Linked DNA regions of Sus scrofa. The protein of the gene in region 4 purifies or fractionates together with the protein of the main gene of each other region. This does not show direct contact. Links are inferred from orthologs where the notes say so. Each region holds a gene or a part of one and is shown on either strand. Other genes may lie near its edges.

Evidence for each region. Proteins that work in one complex are often made in the same cells at the same time.
Region 1: the proteins of SKP2 (region 4) and FOXO1 purify together in Homo sapiens (affinity purification with western blotting; 4 studies listed by BioGRID). This does not show direct contact. The link is inferred for Sus scrofa from reciprocal best matches to the Homo sapiens genes SKP2 and FOXO1.
Region 2: the proteins of SKP2 (region 4) and DUSP1 purify together in Homo sapiens (affinity purification with western blotting; 3 studies listed by BioGRID and IntAct, with this or other methods). This does not show direct contact. The link is inferred for Sus scrofa from reciprocal best matches to the Homo sapiens genes SKP2 and DUSP1.
Region 3: the proteins of SKP2 (region 4) and CCNA1 purify together in Homo sapiens (affinity purification with western blotting; 4 studies listed by BioGRID). This does not show direct contact. The link is inferred for Sus scrofa from reciprocal best matches to the Homo sapiens genes SKP2 and CCNA1.

The regions. Positions count from the first base shown.
Region 1 is NC_010453.5:15,407,260-15,411,378, forward strand, and holds the start of FOXO1 (forkhead box protein O1), read right to left. Parts: upstream 2,801-4,119; 5' UTR 2,775-2,800; coding exon 2,124-2,774; intron 1-2,123. UniProt on the Homo sapiens protein: Transcription factor that is the main target of insulin signaling and regulates metabolic homeostasis in response to oxidative stress.
Region 2 is NC_010458.4:51,456,730-51,460,723, forward strand, and holds the start of DUSP1 (dual specificity protein phosphatase 1), read left to right. Parts: upstream 1-1,194; 5' UTR 1,195-1,532; coding exon 1,533-1,899; intron 1,900-2,175; coding exon 2,176-2,321; intron 2,322-2,662; coding exon 2,663-2,882; intron 2,883-3,315; coding exon 3,316-3,644; coding exon of another isoform or gene 3,645-3,685; 3' UTR 3,686-3,994. UniProt on the Homo sapiens protein: Dual specificity phosphatase that dephosphorylates MAP kinase MAPK1/ERK2 on both 'Thr-183' and 'Tyr-185', regulating its activity during the meiotic cell cycle.
Region 3 is NC_010453.5:12,394,749-12,398,948, forward strand, and holds the start of CCNA1 (cyclin-A1), read left to right. Parts: upstream 1-1,400; 5' UTR 1,401-1,577; exon of another isoform or gene 1,578-1,741; intron 1,742-2,032; 5' UTR 2,033-2,056; coding exon 2,057-2,221; intron 2,222-4,200. UniProt on the Homo sapiens protein: May be involved in the control of the cell cycle at the G1/S (start) and G2/M (mitosis) transitions. May primarily function in the control of the germline meiotic cell cycle and additionally in the control of mitotic cell cycle in some somatic cells.
Region 4 is NC_010458.4:21,461,865-21,466,069, reverse strand, and holds the start of SKP2 (S-phase kinase-associated protein 2), read right to left. Parts: upstream 2,801-4,205; 5' UTR 2,793-2,800; coding exon 2,785-2,792; intron 2,284-2,784; coding exon 2,012-2,283; intron 1-2,011. UniProt on the Homo sapiens protein: Substrate recognition component of a SCF (SKP1-CUL1-F-box protein) E3 ubiquitin-protein ligase complex which mediates the ubiquitination and subsequent proteasomal degradation of target proteins involved in cell cycle progression, signal transduction and transcription.

The sequences.
Region 1 (4,119 bases), on a different chromosome or scaffold from region 4:
CCTTTAACTACCTGGGAAAAAAATGAGAACAAGTAGAAACCTAATAAAAATGGCTGGGGTCAGGGAGTGATTTTAGTCTTAGAAACTATTAAAAAAAAACAAAAGCATAAACCTTAAATGCTTAAGTTATATTCCTAGTTTAAGAATACAGGAATGATCTGACTTAAGACCATTTGAGAGGCAAAACTAAAACTAATCCCCAAACTTTGCCTTTCCCTATCTTAAAAGAAAAACACTCCAGCAAGCTTAAGTAGGCTGTATCCATTTCCAAGGACATGAAAAAACGGTGTTAAGTACACACTGTACTTTTAATTCCGAAAACAAAAAATTTAATGGCAAATGGTTTTACAACAGCTCAAGTAGGATTGATAAATGAACAAGTAAGTCAAGTACTTAAATTCAAATGTTATAAAATTGGATTTGGCAGACAACCCCCATTTTCTGACTTTAAAGAATATATACCAAGGGTAAAATAAGGAGGCACTTTACTTTTTTGAAACCTAGGTAAATTGCATGTAATGCCTGGTAATCAGATCCTAAGTGAAGCCTTTACTCTAAAATACATTTTGGAAAAAATAAGATCCTTGTTCCTTCTCCAGGAGCTTCAACACGATGTGATTAACTTAACCTTTTTGACACACATTAACCACAGGAATGACAGTGTACGTAAAACAACCTTTGTGCAACAAATGCGCAGCAAAGAAAAATCTTTATTATGCTGTACAGTCCCGAGGAGGAGTGAAGAGGAGTCTGACTCAACCAGAGAACCTTAACATCGATCCTTCCACCTGTAACAGAAAGTGTCAGCTTCTGGAAGTCGCGGGGCGAACCGCTGGCCGGTATGCCTCCCCCAGCCCGTCCTCCTGGGAGCCCCAAGGCCTTCTCCACCTCAGGGTAGGGATGTGCCCCCACCTGAGTGTCTCTCCCGCTGTCTCTCGGTCTCTCAGAAAGGCAAAAACGGCCAGAGGCACCGCGTGTACAGGCCTCCGTCGAGACAGGAGGTCCTTGCAGGTTCCCTTGACTCGAACCTTCATTCCAACTCCCCGAACACCAGTCACCTGCCCCTCGGACCTGTACCTCCAAACGCTGTAACCCTGAGGGGGCAAAGCAAGAATACCCACGTCCCCAGCCCTGGCCATCCAGGAAATCCTCTCCGTGCTTAATTAAAGGCCTCGAACCTTCGGCGAGGCCAAGTTTGGGGGCACTTCCTTGGGCAGAGACGTGCCGGCCTTGCTGCCCGGCGGCCGGGCGAGGAGGTGCCCAGGGCCAGGACGCGCTGGCCCTTTAAAGGCGCTCGCTTCCTGCGCTCGCGGCCCCTCCCTCGCCGTCGCCTGCTCCCGCCCCCGCCGAGGGTCACACTTGAACTTTAGCTCGCCCCGCGCCGCCGGGCGCCGGCGCTCCGCAGGCGGTGGCCGCCCCTTTGCACGTGTCGGAGACGCTACCTCTGGCTCTGCGCGCCCGGACCCCTGCACTCGAGGCCACTTAGAATAAAATCAAAATAAAACAAAATGCATACGGCCTCCAAAAACCGCGCGGCCAACCTCCACGGGCCGGCTGCCTCGCGCCCTGCCTGTCCCCTCCACCTGCAGCCCCGTCCCCCAGCGGCGGGGCTCCGAGGCCCCTCGCAGCGGCCTCCCCCGCCCAGCGCTGCGGAAACGGCTCCGCGGGGCGGCGGGGAGCTGGGGGGCCGCGGGGGAGGAGGGGAGCCGCCCTCACCCCTGAGGTCGTGGAGGGAAAGGAGCAGCGGCAGGAGTTCGCGCGGGCCGTGGAGAAGGGGGGGCAGGTCGCAGTGAACCCCGCTCTCCGTTCACTGGAGAACTTTTTTTCTGGTTGCTCTGAGGTCCACTTCTTGGCGTACTTTTTTCACTACTTCGGTCCCAACTCGCCCCTTCCCGCTCCCGCTCCAACTCTCACGAGAGCGTACACACAGACGTTTATTCCAATCCTCCGACGGGTCCGAGGCAAGCCCACCACCCACCTCCGATGCTTCTTGCACGCGCTGCCCGCGTGCCCTGCACTTTCAAGCCAAGCAAATTTGCACAGCCGTCCCCTCCGACCTAAGGCGGAGGCAGGGCTTCCCGTGCCCCCCTCCCGCTCCAGCCGTGCGCCCCGAGGCCACTCACCTTCCAGCCTGCCGAGCTGTTGCTGTCGCCCTTATCCTTGAAGTAGGGCACGCTCTTGACCATCCACTCGTAGATCTGCGATAGCGTGAGCCGCTTCTCTGCCGAGCTCTCGATGGCCTTGGTGATGAGGTCGGCGTAGGACAGGTTGCCCCACGCGTTGCGGCGGGACGAGCTGCTCTTGCGCGGCTGCCCGGCAAGCGACCCGGCGGCGGCGGGGGGCACAGGCGGGTGCTGCGACAGCGGCCCGGGCGGCGGGGGCTGCTGCGGCGGCGCCGGGTGCAGGCAGCCCGCCTCTGGGCCCTGGAAGTCCCCGCACAACCCCCCGGTGGCAGCAGCGGCGGCCGCCGCCGCCACCGCGGCTGCCGCCGCCGCCGCCGCCGCCACGGAGCCGGGCGCCTGCTGGAAGTCCCCGCTCTCCTCCAGCAGGCTCAGGTTGCTCATGAAGTCGGCGTTGACAGCGGCCGCCGAGGCCGAGGGCAGGCCCGCGGCAGCGTCGGGGTTCGCGGCTGGGCCACCCGACGGCGCCGGGCTGGAGGTGGCCGAGTTAGACTGGCTAAACTCCGGCCTGGGCAGCGGCCAGGTGCACGAGCGCGGCCGGGGCAGCGGCTCGAAGTCCGGGTCGATCTCCACCACCTGGGGCGCTTCGGCCATGGTGACCCCCGCCCCTCCCCCAGCAGCGGGATTGCCAAGAAGTGCGAGGGCGCTGCACCAGGAGCTGAGGGGAGAGGGCGCGAAGAGCCGGTCCGAGATTTTGGGGGGCGAGGTCGGTGCCGCGGGCGGACGGAAACCCGGAGCAAGACGCGGCGGCGAAGTGGAAGCGCGAGCCCAGAACTTAACTTCGCGGGTCCATCAACATCTAGGCTCCTCCAGGTCCGCTGCACGGACGGGACGGCAGGCCAGAGTCGCCCAGCCCAGGCAGCGCCAGCGTCGCGCTCCTACTGACACGGCCCGAAAACCGAAGGAAGGACGGGCGCCGCGGGCCGCTCACTCTCCCCGGCGGCGCGACCGCGGCGCTGCTGCCTGTTGAATGTGGCGGCGGCGGCGGCGGCAGCGGCGGCTGCTGCTGCGACTACGCTGCCGCCCGACTTACGGGATCTGCCGCCGCCCCCCGCCCGCGGCGGCGCGCGCGCTTGCCCGCCCCTGACTGATAGCCCCAGCAGCCAATGAGCTCGCGGCGGCACCGCCCAGGCAGCCAGTGGACGCCGGCCTGGGCGGGGGCTGGTTTTCCAGCGGGAGGTGGCAGTGGGTTGGTGGGGGTAGTGGGGTGTTTTTTTCTTTCTCACACACGCACAGTCTCCCTCACTCTTTTTTTTTTTTTTTTGGCTCTCTGTTATTATTTTCTGGTAATTTTCGAATGTTTCTGTGAGTCTCTCCGCTCTCAGTGTTTTGATTGCTGTGAGGCAAACCAGCGTGGAGGCGGCGGCGACACTTTGTTTACTACCGGGGAGCAGAACCGAGTACTCGGGAAGCCCGAGTGGAACGAGTCGCTCGCTTGCCCTCGACCTCCGCTCCGGGCCCAAAGCCGGGCGGGGCGGGGGCCGGAGACGCTGGGCGCTTCGGGGGCGCTGAGTGGGCGGGCGGAGGCGGCCTCGCGGAATTCTGCTCAGTCGCCCCCTCTCGACTCCGCCCTCGACTCCTTTGCTGAGAAACGCGGGGAAGTCGGTGGGTTTTGTTTTTGTTTTGTGTTTTTTTCCTTTTCCTGCGATGTATCGAGTCCTCGGGCCCCGCGCGAGCCGCGCACGCCTCCAGGGGCCCGGGCTCTGACTGTCGTGTCCGCGCGGAGGACGCCCTGGCCGCCGCCTCCGCGACCGGAACCCACCTGTCTGCGCCCGAGGGCTGAGCCTCTGAGGTCGAGTGTAGCCGGGGGCCCGTTGTCCGGCCCAGCACCCGCCAGCCGGGTTCCCTCCATTCTTGACCTGAAAGAGTGGAAGCGAGAGAAGGGGGCTCGGCGCGGGCTGCAGATAGTCCTACTTCCCACGCACCCTCAGACCCACAG
Region 2 (3,994 bases), about 30 Mb from region 4:
CTGCCGCCTGAGGTGGGGGGTGGGGGTTGTCACTCGGTAGCCCAGGACGAGGGTAACCGCATGCGGGTCTCCCCAAATGCGCGTCCAGGTCCTGGTAATCCTCTTAGAGCACCCAGGATGGGGATTTCGAGTTAAGCCCATATTAGTGGCGAGAACCAGGGCGTGGGGGCTGGGCCCGGCTCCTGTTCCTGACTCCTGTTCCCAGCTGGAGGCTCCCAGCCCAGGGCAGAGTTAGGTGCTCAATCAGTGCACATTTGGGGAATAAAGAGATGGAGTGGCTACAACTGTCTTTAAGTAAACGTGACCCAAAACATGTCTGGCGGCCTCGGGAGGGCGCTGTCGAGCCGCGCTGGGGGGGGGGTCCGCCTCCCTTAACACGGAACCCCGCAGTCCTCGACCTGACTTTACGACCCCCCCGACCAGGATTTCAGCCCTCTGAAATCTTCTAACCTTTCTTAGTTCACAATGGTCTGGGCAAGCACATGACTGAGAAAGACCTTTTTCCTCTTGGGTTTGACTGGAAGGCATTTTACTTGTTAAATGTACATTTTATTTTTAAGTAACAGGAGAGTAGTCTGGGGAGTAGGAAAATATTTCCCTGAACACCTCCACCCCAACTCACCCCGGTTGTTCTTGGCTGGACAAACTCGTTAATTTTCCTCCAACCTTCATTTCAGGCTCCTCTCTGTCCCTCGACCCCCAGCAGCGTGATGCTGGGCAAGTAAATAGCCTCTCCTTGAGAACCTGTTTCCTCGCCTGTTGGGGATGAGGAAATGAGAGAAAGGGGCCCACATCTCTGCAAAAACGCAGGAAACCCCTTTCCGTTCTGCTCTGCGGCGGAGGGGGCGCGGGGAAGGGGCACAGGGCGGGGGGAAGGGAGGCGGAGGCCGGTGGCATGCGGCCTGATCTCCCAGCCGCTCTCAACACCGAGGTCAGCCTTCAGCTGCTCGCGCGCCCTTCCTCTCTCCTCCCTGCCGGTCCCGGAGAGTAGCTCGGGCCAGCTCCCCGGGGACGCGCCAGGCGCAGGCCGGACGGCCCGGCGGGGGATGGGACCCGAGCCAGAGCGCAGCCAGCGGACCCCACTCAGAGGCCGATGACGTCTTCCCCTTTGGCTCGGCCGGCGCCAAGCCCGGCAGGGCGGGTGACGTCACCACACCGGTCACGTGACCGTCATTCAAACAAACAACCCCCTCCCCTTGCGCGCGCGCGCGCGCGCGCGCCTCCGCGCGCCCCTCCCCGCCCCGCCCGCCGAGAGGCCACATATAAGCGCGCTTCCCGCGGGTCTGACTCGCCGTGAAGGACGTTGGGGTTGTAGGTTCTACGCGGGTTGGAGGGGCAGGCAGGGGAGCAGTAAGGAACCCGAGGCGGTCGAGAGACCCGCACGAAGACCCTTCGCTCAGCCCAGAGGCAGTTTGGAGTTTGGCTTAAAGAAAACGAGGGTCAGGCTTTTCCTCGAAAGCCGTCGCCCTCCCCTTGGCTTCCGAGGACAAAGAGCACAAGAAGACTTCACGCTGGGGGCGCTGGGGCCGGCCATGGTCATGGAAGTGGGATCCCTGGACGCCGGAGGCCTGAGGACGCTGCTGCGGGAGCGCGCGGCGCAGTGTCTGCTGTTGGACTGTCGCTCCTTCTTCGCTTTCAACGCCGGCCACATCGCCGGCTCCGTCAACGTGCGCTTCAGTACCATCGTGCGGCGCCGGGCCAAGGGCGCCATGGGCCTGGAGCACATCGTGCCCAACGCGGAGCTGCGCGGCCGCCTGCTGGCCGGCGCCTACCACGCCGTGGTGCTGCTGGACGAGCGCAGCGCTGCCTTGGAGTGCGCCAAACGCGACGGCACCCTGGCTCTGGCCGCCGGAGCGCTCTGCCGCGAGGCGCGCGGCGCGCAAATCTTCTTGCTCAAAGGTACGCCCTCGGGGACGCTCAGGGGCGGGCCGCACGCCCCCTGTCGCCTAGCCCGGGGACCCCCGGCTCTCAGCATCTAGGGGACTGCCCCACCTGGAGCGCCTGGGCGCTCGATCCGCATTCTGGGGACTTGTTGGCTTTGTTTGGTCTGTGAACAAAGACTCGCCTGGGCCTCTCCGGGGTAAACTTCCAGTCCCGTTGGATAGCGGAGTTGTTTGAAGGGTGCCCTGTGTCGGCGGTACTAATGGGAAAAAAAATGTCTCTTTGTATTCCCAGGAGGATATGAAGCTTTTTCTGTTTCCTGCCCGGAGCTCTGCAGCAAACAGTCGACCCCCATGGGGCTCAGCCTTCCCCTGAGTACTAGCGTCCCTGACAGCACCGAATCAGGGTGCAGTTCTTGCAGCACTCCACTCTACGATCAGGTTAGTAGGGGGCCTTACCAGAGGGGAGAAGGAACAGCTGGTAAATGTAGGAGAATATAGAAAGTGACATGCAGCTTTATTTATAACGGGGGACACGGGGATATTTATCCCGTGGTTAAGTGGTATGATGGAGCTGAGTCTCTAATTGTTGGCACTACAGAAGTGAACTTTGTTGGCCCTGCCCAAGCAACTGGGCTTAGTCCCCTATTTTCTATACCAGCAAGATGCTGCGAAGGTCACCCAGTATTGAAACTGACTTGTTCAGGGAGTTTTTGTGGGTGTGGGCATGAGCATTGCCATTGAACAAGGCTTGACAAGTGTTGGATGTTTCTGGATTTCAGGGTGGCCCAGTGGAGATCCTACCCTTTCTCTACCTGGGGAGTGCCTACCATGCTTCTCGCAAGGACATGCTGGATGCCTTGGGTATCACTGCCTTGATCAACGTCTCGGCCAACTGTCCCAACCATTTTGAGGGTCACTACCAGTACAAGAGCATCCCCGTTGAGGACAACCACAAGGCGGACATCAGCTCCTGGTTCAATGAGGCAATCGATTTCATCGGTAAATAAGTGGAACAAGATGCCTGGGACCTGTGCCTCCCTGTTTTAGTTTGAGCCACCGAGCCTAAACTCTACAGCAAGAACTTGAGGGACATTCTTTTAAGCTGTAGACATTACTCTCAGTCAGGTGTGGGTGGCATCCCTATGAAGCATAGATTTGATGTCCCACTTTACAGGTTAGCAAACCGAATCTCAGAATGTTGACTTAATTTGTCCCACATGGGTCTGCTCACATGCCCTGGTCTGGGTTTACATGCCCTGTTCCTCTTGCGCAGTGCCCCCATCCGCCTCCAGGAACAGGGCCCATGTGATGGCATGAGGTGATAGTGACCACCTCTGGACAGGACACACACAGCATCTCTTAGACACCCTCTCCCTGGGGTTGGGGTTGTTCTCCTGGGCTCTCAAGTAACCCGCTGCCCTTTGTTTTCCAGATTCCATCAAGAATGCCGGCGGAAGGGTGTTTGTCCACTGCCAGGCGGGCATTTCCCGATCGGCCACCATCTGCCTCGCTTACCTCATGAGGACTAACCGAGTCAAGCTGGACGAGGCCTTTGAGTTTGTGAAGCAGAGGAGGAGCATCATCTCCCCCAACTTCAGCTTCATGGGCCAGCTGCTGCAGTTTGAGTCCCAGGTCCTGGCCCCGCACTGCTCGGCGGAGGCTGGGAGCCCGGCCATGGCCGTGCTGGACCGAGGCGCCTCCACCACCACCGTCTTCAACTTCCCCGTCTCCATCCCCGTCACCCCACGAACAGTGCGTTGAGCTACCTTCAGAGCCCCATCACGACCTCTCCCAGCTGCTGAAAGGCCACGGGAGGTGATCTTCACAACCCACCGGGACTCCAGGCTCCTTCTTGCAAGGAGACATGCAATAACTCCAAGGAAGGGGGCTCGCGAGGGCTGGTCCTTCCTTATTTAATTTCATCCGAATTCCACTGGGTTCCTGGGCGGTCCTGGGGATGACTTGGCGCCAAGACCGTCTGCTGAACTCAGCACATTGGGGACCAACATGCCGTGCGTGGGTGCATCAAGTCTCTGACAAAAGGGGCAGAAGAGAGAGGACTCGGTGTGCGAGCCGATTTTTTTCTGCTGGGCCCTGTTTCCTGAAGAAAC
Region 3 (4,200 bases), on a different chromosome or scaffold from region 4:
TAGGAGCTGTAGCTGCAGGCCTATACCACAGCCACATCAGATTCAAGCCCCGTCTTCCATCTACACCAGCAGCTCATGGCAACGCTGGATCCTTAACCCAAAGAGCGGAGGCCAGGGATCAAACCGCAATTTCCTGGTTCCTAGTCGGATTCCTTTCCGCTGCACCACGAGGGGAACTTTGATAACTGATCAGCTAATCATTTCTTAAAATGCTCATTTAAATGGTTTTGGTGGTCTGCTTAGGGATGAGCATTTAAAAAAATAAAAGCAGACAAAAGCAGCAACGTTTTATATGCAATGTGTATATGTGTGTGCACACAGATACACACACATGTGCACACAAATATTTTCCAAAAAATCACAACGTTAAAGACTCTTTTACCTGCCTTGCCAGTTAACTTCTGCGGGTGGACCCCCATCCAAGGATTTTCCTCCCCACGTGGCGAGGCCACCTGCCCCGAACCCAGTTCCGAGCCTCATTACGTTCTCCCTCAACGTCCCAAGCCCCATCGCTGCCACCCGCGTTCCTTCCTCTTCCTGGGCCACTATCTCGGCGTTCCTGGACCCGCCTCAGGCCGTGACTGCCGGAACCCGCCAGGGAAGACCTCTCGTGGGGACTGTCCGCACCACGTGCGACCCTAAAACCCCAGATCTCCTCTCCCACCCTGCCGGGCCAAATGCACCAGAACCCGGGCCGACCAGGAGCAACCTCTGGTGCGCAAGGACTCAAAATGAGCGAGGACACGCCGCCACCACGGATTAGGAAGCCCCAGCCCAAACCAGGGGCCAACCCGCAGCTATGTGGCCTCTCTCTGGGAGAAGGTGTAGGTGTGTGGGCCAGCGAAGGGGATCTAGCCGCGCTCTGGGGCGGGCGCGGTCAAGGCGCCACGGCCTGCGCAGCCCCGAGGGCCCCGCGTCGCTCTCCCGAGCCAAGGTTCTCAGGAGCGGGCCGAGGAAAAGACGTTGGCGGGAGGAGTTAGTGGCTGTTGGGAGAACGGGTTCAAGGAAACAGTCCCTTCCAAACCCTGGCCATCGCGGGGTGGGCCTTCTTCCTCCCTGCCAGACCCGGGAGGCCAGCCAGAAAGGGCGCGGGTGCCCGCGGCGACCCGCTCGCCCGGGCACGCCCGGGCAGGGCAGCGCAGGAAGAGCCCGGGGCGGCTGCCGGTTGGTCCCTCCCAGCCCTGAACGCCCAGGGGTCGCGGTGCGTCCGCCCCGAGCGTGTCAGGTGAGGAGGTCGCCATAGCGATGCGACCCGGATCGCGCACGCCGGCCGCGGTTGGCATGGAAACGGCCCCCCCGTGAGGCCCGAGAGCGCCGCTGATTGGCCGATTCAACAGACGCGGGGGGCGGGGGAGTTGAAAATAATTAGAGCTGAGGAGCTGGCAGCCCAGGCTGAGATCCCGGCGCCAAGGCTGGAATCTATTAACACCTCGGTCCCCTTCCGCCTCGCCCCGCCCCGCCCCCGCCCCCTTAGGCTGCCCCTCATTCCCAATCCTGGTGTGCACTTGCCAATTGTTCGAGACATATATAAAGACATAAAGCTGAGACGAGCGAGGCCCGCTGTGGGCTTCAAGCAGGTTTTGGGGTCTTATGTCTTGCGGGAGGAGGGCCGCGGAAGAGCACGCTTCTTGTCACTTGGGAAGGGGATATATTTTCCCACAGTGATGTATCCTGGGTCGACTGCAGGCAGAGGGATGGTGGGGTGATGGATAAGTCTCATAGCCGGAAAAGACATAGACCTGTAGGTTTGGACTCCCAATTAACCTGGGGCTTAGTGTCCGGCCGTGGAGGTCTGCCTTCCTCCTTCCAGCCGTCAGCCTGGTTTGGGAAGAAAGCCTGGAGAGATTCAAATCCCTGTTTTGGTTCAAAGTAGCTTTGATCGCTTGCACCGTGGCTCAGGCCTTTTCAACCCTAATAACTGCAGTGAAGATCATATGTTTCAGTGCTCTCTCTTCTGGGGATTTGCTGCATTCTGGAGCCCGTGCTGGAAGAGGTTGACTAACCAGCATGTCTGTTTCTCCTTCCCTGATAGCAGTAGCCTGTGGAGACTGAGGCTATGCATCTCAGTAGCTCCAAGAGCGGGAGAGTGCTGGCTCCAGTGTCCGGAGGTCCTGATGCCTGTCAGATGATGTCCAGAGCCCAGCTCAGCCAGGATCCACCACAAAGAACAGTACTAGGGGTGCTAACCGAGAATGGGCAATACAGGAGGACCTGTGGCCAGGTAACGACTGAGAAGAGCTGGGACGGTTACCTGTTGAGAAGGGCTCTCATGTCATGGTGAGAGGTGGGTTTCTCTGGCAGTTTTACCTACAGACGTCCCCTGAGTATTTCAACCCTGGAATCTGGACTAGAGGGACCTTGATTTATTAAAGATTTCTTTCTTGGGTCCTTTTTCTAGCTAGAAATATTGAATACTTTTCTGTTATTTTTCCGATATCAAGGAAAGAAACCTAGGAACTGTTTAGAGTAAGTATGCGTAAAGTCATTTAAGTTCTGGGCTAAAAGGAAATGAGAATGCTCCAAAATAAACTGTGGAACTGGGGTTCCCACAGATTGGAGCGGTATCCACACTGATCTCGGCTGTGCCTGAGGCATCCTGGGTAACTTTTAAGTTCATTGGTGATGGTGTAGAATCAGGATTGGATCAGCCTATCCTAGATTACTTCAAAATGCGTGCTTTGAAAGTAGACTTCTCTCCAGGACTGACTAAGGACAGTTGGGCAAACAGCTCATGGGCCATCTGACATTAGTTGCTTGCACTTAACGGATCAGAGATACTTCCTTTAACTGATTGTAAACAAATTCAGAGACTTATAATGTAAAAGAGGAGTTTGGATCCTTAAGAATGAATTTTGAGATTAAACAAAAAAAATCTAAGTCTGTTATTAGACAAAGCTTCTCATAACCATGCCTTAAGTCTGTAGTGTACATATGTAGTGGAATGACATTGGCAACCATACAGTGACATAGGTGGGCAGGTGTTCTTTCCATTTTATATGTGAGCAAATTTGAGAGGTTTAAAAAAGACCAAAAAAGAAAAGAAATTCATGATGGAGACCAGATCAGAAGCCTCTCCTCATCTACAGACTATTCAAGTCATCTGTTTTGGTGACATCTGATTAGTGAGAGAAAAATACCCAAAGTAATGTTTCAAGCGTTGGAAAAAACAGAGTAAAGGTGGTTTTAACAAACTTAATGTGCTTAGTGGTGTTTACTTCTTTAAACTTGAAGTTGAAAACCTCTTACGAATTGGCAGTTACACCTACGCTGACTGAGCTCACTTTAAATTCACAACTGTCAATTAAGCTCTGTGTTGCCTGGCGATACCTCTACATTTCCCGACTCTATTCCTCTGCACCCTTCTTATAGAAACCTCCTATTTTATACATTCCCTTCTCTTTTTATCCTTGAAAGCCTCCATCTCCATCCTTACTCTCAGTTAATAACTATATCCTATTTTCCTAAAAATATAGATGTAACCGGAAGAGAATTTCCACATGGTCCCGTGTACCTACCATATACTCTGCCACCCCCTTCCCGCTACGTAACCCATGTGTCCCTGCTCTTATGCAAGGGGAACGCCCCGTGTGTGCAGCACACCTTATGCCCTTTTGCCTTTTTAAGGATATCATTCCATCACCTTGTCTTTCTCTTTTCCACTGGATCAAACCCAGAAGCATGAAAATATACTGTGATTTTTTTTTTTTTTCATTCCTAAAAACCTTGCAACTACAAAGCTCTTTGCAGCAACTGTCCCATTTATGGCAGTATTTCTTGAGGGTTTGTCTATGTAAATTCCATCAGGATGAGGGTTTGGGACATTGGGTTTACTGCTGTACTTCCAGTGTTTAGAACAGTGCCTGGCCAGGGTAGCATGCGAGGATTTATTGAACAAATACTGTGTCTCAGATTCTTCTCTTGTTCTCTTTGACTCAATTCTTAATCAGTTCTCAAGCCTTTCCTTACTTGACCAGTTGGCAGCATTTGACATTGTTGATCATTCTTCACTCCTTGAAATAGTTTCTTCTCACGCAGTCTGGAGAACAGGGCCTGGTTTCCAACCTAGCTCACTGGCTGTACCTCCTCGGTGGTCCTTCCTCATCCGCTCGCTAAAAGTTAGAGTGTGCCAGGGCTTCGTATTTGAGCTGAATCTCCACTCACTCCCATAGCAATCTCTTCCAGTCTCCTGGCATTAAATAC
Region 4 (4,205 bases):
TTCCCAGGCTTGGTAAACAGCAGAATGAGGATGCAAAGCCAGATTTGTCTGACTCCACCACAATCCTTTACTGCCTTTCTAATGAATCCAACACCTAATAGAGATCCCCAGACGGTAACCTGAAGGTTCTCTTTCCTAAAGAAAGAGTTAAAAGCAAAAAAAAAAAAAAAAAAAAAAAAAGTTTGGGATGGAAATGCTGTAAAATTTGGTTGTGATGACTGTTGTACACCTATAAATGTAATAAAATTCATTAAGTAATAATAAAAAATTTAAAAAAACTATATATATATATATATTATTTTTTTAAAGTAAGCAAGCAAGCAACCAGTCAACCTTTCCTCAAAGAAAGCCAGATGGGGAATTTAGGTATATACTTATTTACCCTCACTCTGCAAGTCTTCATCTTTATTTCTTGTATCTGTCTCTTCTTCTATCACCTCCAGTTTCAGCTTAGAACAAGATCACCTCTTCTACAGACACTTTCAAAGCCTCCTAACTCTGTCCACTCACATGTTCGAATCTATTCAGAAGCTGACCACTGCCTATCATCACTCCCACACCTCTCAACAAGGCTCTGAGTTTTTATTTGCAACACCCTACAGTTTCATCTCAACACATCAGTGTGTCCTTTTAAAAGGTCACGTCACAACTCCGCTCAACAGCACCTCTAGCCCATCTCCCACTACCTTCTCCTTTGCTAATCCACTCTTGGAATATGGCTTCCACGTAGTTCCTTGAAAAAACATGACATTCCTATGCCCCAGGGTCTTTCCACTAGCTGTTCCCTCTGCTTGGGGTTCTCTTCCCCAAGGTATGTGCATGGCACATTCCTTCGTCTCCTTTATGCTTCTGCTTAAAGCTTGCTGTCCAAGTGAAGTTTTCCCTTAACGCCCTGCTTAAAATTGCAAACCAGCTTCCCACCCAAGGACCTCCAATCCCTTTTGGCTTGTTCCATTTTTGCTTTTATCCATAGCACGTATTCTAGTATACCATACACCAGATTTATGTTTCCTGCATCCTCTCTCCGAAGCAGAAACTCCACGAGGGTGGAAATGTTTTTGTTTTGCTCAATGCTATATCCCCAGTACCTAGAACAATGACTAGCATATAAAATGTGCTCAGCAAATATTTGCTGAATTAATGGTTTACATGGTTTACCAGCAAGAAAAACTGATAACCCCAGGTCAGTGCACTGTTTACCCTATGGCTTTGCATACTCCTGGAGTTCTGGATCCACTCTGGGAGGCACTTACTCATCTGCCTGAGAAGCCTGGTAACAGAGAGCTATTAGAGGGGAATGACGTGGTGCGTTTTACATTTCAGTCAGTCCACTCTGGCTCTGGGGGATGGATCTGGGGAGGATAAGGCTGGAATTATGAGTCCATTCCAATATTCAGATGTTGACAGCTTGAGAAATATTCAGGACACAAAAGGGAAAGATGTAATGATTGGATGGATGTTGGGGTTGGTGGGAATCTGACTGATTTTCAGGTTTGGGGGCTGGGCAATTGAACAGATAACACGGGCAGTCATGGAGACAGAGCATACCAGAATAAGCCCACTTGGGGATGGACCCGGGAAGAGAAGTCTCTTCTTCCACCTAGTTCAACATTCACTTTAGCAATCCCTTGACAAATAAGTAAAGTTGATTTTGGCAAAAACCTCAACCAGAGCAGCAGAATATAAACAAAAAGAATCCTAAAGGATCATTTCTTTGTTCTCATTTGTCAGTGGCACTAAGCTGGCCTTAGACCAGGCAGAGTCCTTCCTAAAGAGAAAGGCAGGAACGGATTCTCCTGGATTCAAAGTCTATTGTGCATCTTAAGATATACAGCTACCAACATTTCTGTTAACTTCTAAAGCAACGAATTTTCTCATCTCTTTGGAAAATAACTTCAAAATTAGGCAATTTTAAAAGCGCTCCATCCTAATGATCCTTAAACAAAGGTTTACCAACAAAATATTTCAAGCTACCACTTACTGCACCGATAGTTTGACCCTCATACCTTACCTGGAAAGTTCTCTCGATTTAGCTTAGGTCTGCGGACGATCACAAAGTCCTTTTCATTCCCTTTGCTCTTCAGCCGTTTTCGCGGAGGGCTCTGCGGGTGGCCCAGGTTTGAAAGCAGTTCCTGGGGGATGTTCTCACTGTCCACCTCCTCCTTCTCCAAGGCAGAGACCCCCATGCCTGAAAGCAGTTCAGAAGTCTTGCTAGAATCCCATCCCCACGTGAAGCTGGTGGTAACGTTGCTACTCTGGTCGGGAATCTCCTGGAGGTGCTTCCTGCAGATAAGCACAATAGCCCCCGTTCCTTTAAAAAACACACCCGTGAATAATTCCAAACAGGCCTAAAGGAAGCTGCAACTTATGCATTACCGAAAACGCTCACAGCAGCTAACTGAACTTGCATTTTAAGTGCCGGCGGCGAGTTCCCAAGAATGAAAGAAAAAAGAACCAAACACACCGAACAAATCGAAAAGGCTTTTTGATTTACGATCATGCAGAAGGCCTCAAGAATGTCTCAAAGTGGATGGAACAGATAAGAAGAGGGCAATTATACAGTGATTGAAAACAGGAGCAGAAAAGCCCAATAAGGGAAGCCAAATAATATCGCACGCTGATCACAGCACTAAAGCATCCACCCATCCACGTTTTCCCAAAGAGGAGGTTAAGCAACCATTCACATTGCAGCATTACAAACAATATTAGGAAGTAGCAAAACTCGCGGCCTAAAAGAATTAAGATGGTCCACTCACGGTCTGCCCCTTTCTGCAAACGGTTTACCTGTGCATGGCGTCCGCAGGTTCGGGAGTTTTAAACGCGTGCATTAATTGCAGAGGTGCCCGCCTCCCGGATTCCCGCTTTGGCGCGCGGCGGCGCACTGCGTGTGGCTCCAGCCCCCAGCAGTGAGACCCGCGAACTCTATCAACGTTCCATCCCCACCGCGCGCGCAGAAAACTTCTGCCCGCTCTCCTCCCCGCTACCGTCTGCGGCCCCGCTGCCTTCTGGGAATTGTAGTTTTCTCCCTGCCTGGCAATCCGGCTGCCTCGCCACTACTTCCTTTCCTCGCAGCTTTCCCCGCCTTCCATATACCCACAACCCCCCGCGGTTGCGGCACTGGACGGCCCACAGGGTAGGCGGGGAGGCGGAAGTGGGCGGTGCTCCAGCCGACCGGGCTATGGCAGCAGCTTGACGGGCGACAGGTTTTCTTTTCCCGGGAACCCCTAGGCCTTCTGGTGACAGCCACCGCCGTCGCCAAAGAGCGTGGGTTCCAGACCCCAGACGGCTGTGGCGGACAGGGGGTTTCCAGGTCCTTCTGGAATCTGTCCGGCGAGATCGGACGGTGAGCCTGAGGGGGGAGAGCCTGAGACATTTTGGGATCTGGGGCCAAGTGCAGGCGGCGAGAGAGGGACCCACGAGACCCCGAGAGGCCGCCGCCGCGGGGCCTACGTTCCTGGCCGCTGAGTGGAGGCAGTGGCCCGCCCCGCCCGCCAGGTGAGAGGTTGCGGCCGCGGGCGTCACACCTGCCTGTGTCTACCCCTCCGCCGGGAGCTGCTTCCTCCATCCGGGAGAGGGCAGCCCTTAGGATTGGGTCTGTGGACAAGATCCTTTCCTGATCTGTAAAATAGGCACTATGGCAACGAAGGATTATTTCACATCTTGCCGCCGTCAGGGTCAAACCAGAGGAACATGAGTGAGAGCATTTTGTAAGTGAAGGCGCAGTTTGAGTCAAAGGTGGTGGTTGAATTTTAGGGGATCAGGAGACCGCTGTGTTCCTGTCCGCAGTGGCAAAGCTGAGCATCCCTTTGCAGCCTTGAGCAGTCTTACAACACTAGCATGACTGTATCCGTATACGCTAGGGGCCACTAACAAAGCCTATCGGTTGCTCTCTCTCGACCGGCTGCTGCTGATTGCCTAATCTCTGAAAAGCAGGCTGCTTTTGCCTACCTCCGCGGAGAAGAGTTTGGAGATGGTTAGAGAGCGTGCCATATTCCGAGTATGATGACCGGGCGAAATCCACTGTGCAAACTGTACTATAACTGTGACCCTGGGAAAACAGGGTGAGAGAGAGAGAAGGGGAAAAAAAATCCAACTCTAATAAAAGTGGAGAGGATTTATAAAGCCCAGAAGTAAGCAGGTCAGCGTCATCACAAAAATATTAGAATGTTACCTCAGTATGCTGTGTGGCATACCTTCTTATTTCT